2 linked regions of the Danio rerio genome follow. The protein of the gene in region 2 interacts with the protein of the main gene of each other region in a pairwise test. Links are inferred from orthologs where the notes say so. Each region holds a gene or a part of one and is shown on either strand. Other genes may lie near its edges.

The links. The genes of interacting proteins can lie anywhere in the genome.
Region 1: the proteins of yes1 (region 2) and fundc1 interact in binary tests that used the Homo sapiens proteins (3 or more experiments, as listed by UniProt). The two-hybrid records come from large-scale screens. The link is inferred for Danio rerio from reciprocal best matches to the Homo sapiens genes YES1 and FUNDC1.

What each region holds. Positions count from the first base shown.
Region 1 is NC_133184.1:35,472,933-35,477,398, forward strand, and holds fundc1 (FUN14 domain-containing protein 1), read right to left. Parts: upstream 2,837-4,466; 5' UTR 2,797-2,836; coding exon 2,778-2,796; intron 2,352-2,777; coding exon 2,195-2,351; intron 2,108-2,194; coding exon 2,032-2,107; intron 1,940-2,031; coding exon 1,811-1,939; intron 1,722-1,810; coding exon 1,644-1,721; 3' UTR 1,195-1,643; downstream 1-1,194. UniProt on the Homo sapiens protein: Integral mitochondrial outer-membrane protein that mediates the formation of mitochondria-associated endoplasmic reticulum membranes (MAMs).
Region 2 is NC_133177.1:34,311,377-34,316,008, reverse strand, and holds part of yes1 (tyrosine-protein kinase yes), read right to left. Parts: intron 1,903-4,632; coding exon 1,723-1,902; intron 1-1,722. UniProt on the Homo sapiens protein: Non-receptor protein tyrosine kinase that is involved in the regulation of cell growth and survival, apoptosis, cell-cell adhesion, cytoskeleton remodeling, and differentiation.

The sequences.
Region 1 (4,466 bases), on a different chromosome or scaffold from region 2:
ATATGATTCTTAAAGTATAACGTTAATAAATTAATCAAAATATAATAAAAGTAGGCTAACTAATACCAGGCAGTTAGATATCACAAATTAATGAAATACTATTTAAAACAACAAATGTTCTTTTCAGTTTAATAATCTACTGCTACACTCTTTTAAAAAGCTTGTTTAGTTAATAGCATTCATAGTCATATCAAACAACATCAAACTGACTTAAAATATAAAGTTAAACTTCGTATAATTCAGCATAACTTTAGTTGAAACCTGATTTACTTATTAAAATAAGTTAAAGTAAAAAAATCACCTTGACATTTTTTTGTCATGTAACTTTTTTCAGTTATGACTGTTGATTAAACAGCCTTTTTTTCTTTCCTTTTTTTTTCTTAGAAATGTACCACTGTAAAAATCTGCAGGGTAGCATTTAATAACTTAACCCACACAGATACATTATTATTATTATTTTTACTTTTTAAAGTCGTTGTTTTTTGCAACACTGTAAAACACTCAGATTCATCCAAACACAATATATTGTCATTTAAATTCACCATAAAACAGATGTTAAGATTGTCCTGTTTTTCATATCAAATTGAAACGATTCTGAAATGAGAAAAAAACCTTCAGGAACTGATTGGATCATTGGAGGATAGGCATCGCTAACAAAATGATGGAAGACTGATAAGTAGACAAAAGTAGGGTTATTGCTAGATCACATACGGTTGTGGCCGGAAGTAAACAAGAATTATTTATATTATGTATTAAATTTCCCATTTATTGTTTTTCATTAACATCTACCCCTACTGTCACAGTAACATGAAAACAGTAGTTGTACAGGGTATTTTATTAATGTCTACTATTAATTACTGTTATAAAGTTTTACAAAAATGATGCTATATTGATGTGCATACCCGCAGCTGTAACCCATCTACTTTGCCCAAAATAGAACAGAAATGAGACACGCCCTGATAGTCCCGCCCTAAAGGCAATCCATATGACCAAAAGTAAAGAAAAGTCATTTCGAGGGGGCAGAGAAGGTTATAGTGTTGGATAAAACATAATAAGGGCAAATTATTTTTTACAAAATAATGAAGTGCACATTAATAACAAGCACTATAAAAATATAAAACTAGAAAAGCTAATTCTGATTTAATGCCGACTTTAGAACTTAGGAACAAACAAACAAACCAAAAAGTACAAATAGTCTATACATAACCAGAAAGACTTTTTATTATTTCCACAACATTATTTTTATCTTTACGTCAAAACAATTCATGCATTTTGACAATATATTAGGGAAATGATACATCTACCTCAAATAATGTACCGTCAAAAGCAAAATACAATATGAAACACTTCAGTAGTTGTACATGTAACAAATGAATGCATTATCACTAATTAAAATAAAATGAACAAAATAAAAGCCACAATTTTCTATAAAGTTATTGGCACAATATATCTCTCTCCTGCAGGATGTTTTAGCTATTGTATAACATTGTAGAGGAACATATTAAAAAAGTCCAGCAAATGTCCATTGCACTCACTGCTTCTGAACAAACAACATGTTTCAGTGCTGTATCACTGTGATACCAAGATAAGGGACAATATTACTGTACTCATATCAGAGGCAATACAGTACATCCAGGTTTCATTTAGGATGCCAGGCCTAGCAGAAATCCTCCAACAAATCCTCCTGAGATAACAATATTCCTCTTCACAAACTCTGTAGACTGTAGAACAAAATGTAGGTTAAGCGAAGTGTCATAACAGCTAATAGATAGTATATGAAATTATGACAAGCATATGAAAGTATACCCACATCTTCTATAAAGGTATTGAGCTCAGGAGCAGCTTTTTTGGCATTTTTCTTCAAATGCTTTTTAGCTTTATTGACATCCTTTTCCACTTTCCTCCAGTCCACCTGCACATAGCCACTATGATTGGCAATCTGAAATAAGAAAATAGATGATTAACAAATTAAATGTCATTGAGCATAACATATACTAATTAAAAGCATAACTTAATTTTAAGAACTCATACTTGTAACAAAAGAAATCCTCCTCCAACAGCAGTAGCCACAAGCTTTCCAACTCTCTGAAAGAGATATCCAGCACACCTAGAGAAGGACATTTTTTTATTATTTATAACAATCAGGAATATTAAGGGTTTTATTAGAAATTAAAGCATTCACATGAACACTAACCATCCGGACACTCCACCCATCATGATTTGTGAAGCCACAGAGTATTTTTCTGCAATGGGACCTGTGCTGTTACCAAATACTCGACTCCACCATTGATGCCTCCTGGCATAATCTGTGATGTTGACCACTTCATACAATTCATCTTCACTCTCTGCATCTACAAGTGAAAACATTAACCACAGTCGTTACAAACGAATACTGTAATTCTATGTTTGTTCTCTGATGACAAACATGATCCAGCTTTGTAAACACTGAATATACGAATTTTCAACCATTAAGGTTCACGTCCTTTGACATTTCAAATTAATACGATGTGATTACACTAATTTGTTTGCATTAATAAGTGTCAATGAATTTACCAGCACGCGAATGGAAAGACGAATGAGAATGAAAACAGTATGGTTGAATTTAGCTGCGTTGTATCTGTATAGACTGAACGGCTGCTGGCAAAATAAACGAAACCTATGCTGCTCTTCTACGGTGTAAACACTCGGAATCTTGTTGCACGCGATAAATCCGGTGAAACAAACACGCTGCCAATCGAGACTATTCATTCAAATGTTTGGTTAGCCAATTTATTTACCTTCGCCGCGATCCGCCATTTTATGAGGCTGCGTTCACGACGCTCGCAACCGCGGAAGCTCTTACGTAAAATGCTGCGCAGTTTGCGTGCGATAATCACTCTTCGATTCCAAATTTGCGTATATGTGGTATTCACTAAATACTTCACAAAGTCCGTAGAGTGTAATGGTGCAATCTCAGTATATAAAATACTGTCTACCATCAGAACCAGAAAGCATTTTACATGTTTCTGTGTATACTCCACTACTAAGGGGAAGCTCAGGTCTGTAAGATTTTCAAAGCTCAAAGACGCCTAGCATATTTAAATAACAGAACTCTCTGTCTTTTTACTTTTGTGTTTTTTTTTGTCCATAATTTTAACACAGCGTTTTTACATTTACTGCTTTCAAACATTTTAAACACTATAACAGTTGTTTACATAATTAAAATATAAATAATAGCATTAAATAATAATTTTTATAATTTTCTAAATATTTCATATTCTAGCCTATACAACTTTCAGGGTGTTGAAAGAAAGAAAGAAAGAAAGAAAGAAAGAAAGAAAGAAAGAAAACAATGACAGCAAAAATGGATGATAGAAGATAGGATGGAGAGTATTTTTATTATTAATTAACAAAACGTTCTCTCTTTAACGTTACTCTTGTGCGTTTTGTGCAGAATTTAAGTGTACAGAGTTTTTACATTTACTGCTTTCAAACATTTAAAACACTAATAATAGTTGTATACATAATTAAAACATTGATAACAACAACCATCAAATAATAATTTTAATATTTTTACAGATATTTCATATTCTATACAACTTTTGGGATGTTGAAGAAAGAGTGAAAGAAGTTAAAAAAGACAGTATTTTTATTATGAGAAACATTACAGCAATACAGACAAGGATAAATACAGTACACCATCATATGCAGTACAGTACAATAAAGTATTATTGACCCTTTGATGCACAAGCTATAAAATAGATATAGAAAAATGTAAAAAAATAAACTTAGACGGGTCACTTTAGACCCATGTAGCGCATGAAAGGGTTAAATAAATAAATAATAAATTCACTGGGTAAATGTATGTTCTTAAAGAATTTGGATCCATGTGCTGTACTTTGAAAAATCAAAGAAAGAGGCAGGGTCAAAATAAACTTAACAGCCATGGAATATAAAAAAAAATGTTAATAATAATAATTATATATATATATATATATATATATATATATATATATATATATATATATATATATATTCTGACTAAGACGAAAAGAAAATGAATGAATATATTTTTAGTAGTTTCTTTAGATTATGAAGCCATAAATTCTATGATTTTATTTATTTTTTATTATTATTATTTTTTTTATTAAACAACAGCAAATATACAATTTAAACATGACATCCGAATAATTCATTTATTTATTTTTTTTGGCTTAGTCCCTTTATTAATCTGGGGTCGTCATAGCGGAATGAACTGCCAACTTATCCAGCATATGCTTTATGCAGCGGATGCCCTTCCAGCTGCAACCCATCATTGGGAAATACCCATACACTCTCATTCACACACATACACTACGCACAAATTAGCTTTCTCAATTCACCGGTACCGCATGTCTTTGGACTTAGCCAGAGCATCTGGAGGAAACCCACATGAATGCGGGGAGAACATGCAAACTCCACACAGAAACGCCAACTGACCCAGCCAC
Region 2 (4,632 bases):
CTGTAAAAAAAAATCTGTGTTTTTAAAACAAATGAAAACATCAATGATTTATTTGAATTATATAGCCTGACGTGTTTACTGCTCCAAAATATCATAAATCTAAAAGAAAAATAGAATATATTGAGTTTTTTTTAAAGGGAAAAAAGTTTTAGTTTTTTTACCCAGACATTTAAAAAGAAGATATTTTAGAGCAGTGAGCACAATACCGTAATACCATGAAATCGAAATATTTTTATCCAAGGTTATCACACCGTCAGAATCTTATACCGGCCCATGCCTAAATGATACAAAGACAAGATATTTACAACATTAATTAAAAACCAACTATATAATGTAGCACAGCCTTTCGTAGCTAAAACACAACATTAAATATGATTATTTTGCACACATTAAAGAGAAAGAAAAAGGTACTGTGAGCTGCATCAGAGCGGAGTTCATTAACATTCATGACCAACCTAATATGGTCAATAAGGATTTTCTGATTGTGGTGCATTTTATGGGGGTAACAAACGAGTATATAAATTAAAACCATTTCTGGAGAAGGTTTGAACTTACCTAAGGCATATACCTACTCATGCAGATATCAGAAAACAATTTAACTTTTTGAACCAAAGCAGTATGTCACCTCTTAATAATAACAATTTTTTTAACTATTTCACATTTAATAGAATTTTTTTTTTTTATCTAAACGTAGGATTCATAAATATTATATTTAAACATATGATCTATAAAATAAATATATAATTTGTGTAATGGTGTTAACATTACTCTTGCGACAATAAATTTAGTACATTAAACAATAATTTTAGAACATCTTGCAGCTTAATATCCATTTTAATTTGTTTTCATGTCTCCAAAACGCAAAAAACGTTAAAAAAACCTTCCCTTTTTTATTATGGTGAATTGAGAAAGCCAACATACTGTTATACTACCAAAACTTATTCTTCTTCTTCCGTCTTCTTTTTCTAAGACTGTTAGGAACGCAACTCCAAACCTTCAAACTATACTGAATTAAGTTGCTATATCTTTTTCAACTGATCCAATTTTCGTTTTTCCAAAAACTGACCTGGAAAATTTGGACAAGTCCCACTGACTTAACATTGGACCAAACTTTGTGACTTAAGGTTGGACTCATACTAAATTCATGCTAATAACATGCTAGTTCATACTAGAAACATGCTAGCAACATGCTAATTATTATTAGAACTATGCTAACAACATGCTAATTTATGCTAGAAACATGCTAGCAACATGCTAATTCATACTAGAACCATGCTAATTTATGTAAGCAACTGCCTAGCAACTACTCAGAACACCCTAGCAACCGCCTAGCAACGTCTAAACAACCAGTCAAAACACCACAGCAATGCCTTAGCAACAGCCTAGCAACCACATAGAACACCCTGGCACAATCTTAGCAACACCTCAGAACACCCTAGCAAGGCCTTAGCAACCATTTAGAACACTCTAGCAACCACTTAGCAGCACTATAGCAACTACTAAGAACACCCCATAAACCACTTAGCAAGAAACATGCCAATCCAAACTAGAAACATGCTAACCTATATGTAGTTATCTATCTATGCCATCTGTTTCAAACTTCATCTGTTTCAAATCAATTTGTCAAATTACTATTGCATATTATTAAGTTGCTGCTGTGTCATTGCTTGAACTGATAAATAAACACACATGAAGAAAGTAAAGAAAGAGAGTGTCAGCTACCTTTGCCCATGTATTCAGTGACAATGTAAATTGGCTCTTCAGACACAACAGCATACAGCGGAACGAGCTTATCATGCCGGAGCTTCTTCATGATCTGGGCCTCCTGCAGGAAGGCTTCGGGAGACATGGTGCCCGGCTTCAGGGTCTTAATAGCTACCTTAGTCGTGCCATTCCAAGTGCCTAGAAAAAGGGAAAAGAAATTAACCCTAAATAAATGCAGCACTTTGGTAAATCGAAAGTATCAGGAATGATTTGATTTAAAAACCTAACGATAAAGAAATGTGGCTGAGGAAAACACACACACACACTCTTACAAATACAGTCTCTCTCACACACACACACACACACACACACACACACACACACACACACACACACACACACACACACACACACACACACACACACACACACACACACACACACACACACACACACACACACACACACACACACACACACACACCTTGTTTTTGAGAATACCGTTTAAACAGCCATGGCACAGACTGCCAATTCATGAGAGAATGGTTATGTGGAAGCTATTGTGCATGTTGAAACAAACATACACAAACAATAAGAGAAATTCCTCACATTGCTGATATGAGGTGACATGCCGGAGCTTGCAGCAGGACGAGTTTACTAGAGATGATGACAGACAAATACCTAATAACACCCTTTTACACTTCACTCTAGTATATAAACTCTGCTGTATTTTTGCCATGTAGAAAATTTTGAATGAATCTGAAGTTTAATGCGCAAGTCTGTTTGTATAGTTCAGCATTTTATGTGAGTGACAGCCGCATTCAGTAACTGAATTAACTCCTGACAAACGCATTGTGACAAACACACTGAAAGAAACTATGCAGTATGTATGGCACATAACAACGAACTGTTACTTACATTTAAACACTTATTAGAGCAGAGTGTCCCATTTGCATGCACACAATACAAGAAAGTCCCAGAAAAAGAGGTACTAGACCTGACTTGTTTGTGTTGCCAGGTATTGCTTGAAAAATACAGTACAATAATAAACTTAATTAGGTACAAAAGATTTCTTCTGAAGACAAGACCAAAGTATCATAACTTGCACCTTCCTGCTTTCAAAACTCCATCAACTCTGTTTATGTGAGTATCCTAAACAGTAAGCCCAAAGACATTTATAATAAGTGGACATGGCAACACTTCAAGAGCACACTGTGTAAAACCTTAAACATTAACACAGTATAACGCTTCTGTTGACAATAAATTGGTTAAAACTACAAATCAAAATGAATATTTGGTTTATGTAATATTACTTTTGTTAAAAAATATCAGATACCAAAGGCTTGAGATGCCAGATAATTGCTGTGGTTTCAGTATGGTGTAATTTAGGGATTCACTTCAGTATTTAAATGCTGTAGTCACTCCTAACACTTTATAATGTTTATAAGTCTGTGCAGGTGTAAATATTGGTGAACTGACAATGTATAAAGCACTTTGGCTAAATAATAGTTGTAAATTATTAACTGAAATTAGGGTGTGTGATATTTATGGAATACAATAATTATGGTAATTGCGGCTCTAATAATGTGTGAGCTGACAAACACACAAACACATCTTGAAAGGATTGACTGTATGATGAAGTCTATAAAAATGGCACTATAATATGAGTTATGAAAGCAAAAAGTAGTGTATTGGTTTTGCTTTTTGTAATATGTTAAGACATGTAATACCAGCCTGATCTCACAAAGGAAAGTAACTATTTTTTGCTTTGTCAGTTTACTGGCTAATTCACATTTTAAAAATGAGGCATGCCGCCACACCCAACACAAACCAACCGTCACTGGAGATGAGCAAATCGTACTAAATTATACGAATGAGGTCGTAAATATTCACACAAATTAGCCACTAAATCAATCAGTGATTCGAATCGCAGTGAGATTGTGTTGGTAATACAAAAGTCATTACATGCACAAAGTGTGGTTTTCTCCAATATCAGCGAGCATCATCGCATATGTTGTTTTGATTTTATTCCGCAGTTTAACAAACTGGAAGTTAAAACTGAGCGGGTTTACATATTGTATATGAGTTTTTTTTAAAACCCAAACAAAGTAAGAGCAGAACAACTACCAAACACTACCACTGTGGTGTTTTAATCCTGAATGAACCTGTTTTTAAACAAACAGAGCAAGTCAGTAATTCTATCACTCATTCATGAAGACGGTGGTTGTTTCTTAATATGCTTTCTTCACCGGTTTTGTGTCTTTATGTTCTCATGTAATGCCAACATCAGCTGCCAAAGTTCAGTTCTAAAACCCAAGACCGCAAGAACAGAGGATGCGTGAGAGTTCCCGCATATCTTCTTAATATCGAGGATGCACTGACTTGAACACAAAACTCCCCCGAGAAGTCCCAGAAGTCATTGCAGCTGATCCTGAATAAAGAAGGTGGGAAGCACAGAATTCTATACATGTTTATTATTAAAGTTCCGAAATATAATTTATTTATCTCAGAAGTTTTCTCAAATGACACAGTGAAAGTAAACATTACCATGAAACTCTTAATAAAGTTATAAACAAATTAAGGATGTATATTAGCTAAATTTTATATTAAAACCGGTTTTATTTGTATTGTGCAAAATACATTTGTAAGGTTTTGTGCATGTTATATATATTTAAAAGGGAAAAAACAAATCATTGTATTAATGCTGTAATGTTTAAATAATTTTCCTTTAAAATGCATGAAGGTCATGTGACCATCAGGAAAAACGCAGCATCTCATTTCTTAGAGGAAGCGATGTGTTCTCACTGTCTCCCGAAATCGTTCTTCCGAGGTAACCTGGCAAGAACAGTCTCCTTGAGAATGCAAGTTTGTTCTCTGCATTCATGGAATTGAGAAACAGCCAGTGACTTGCATAAAAAAAATCACTTT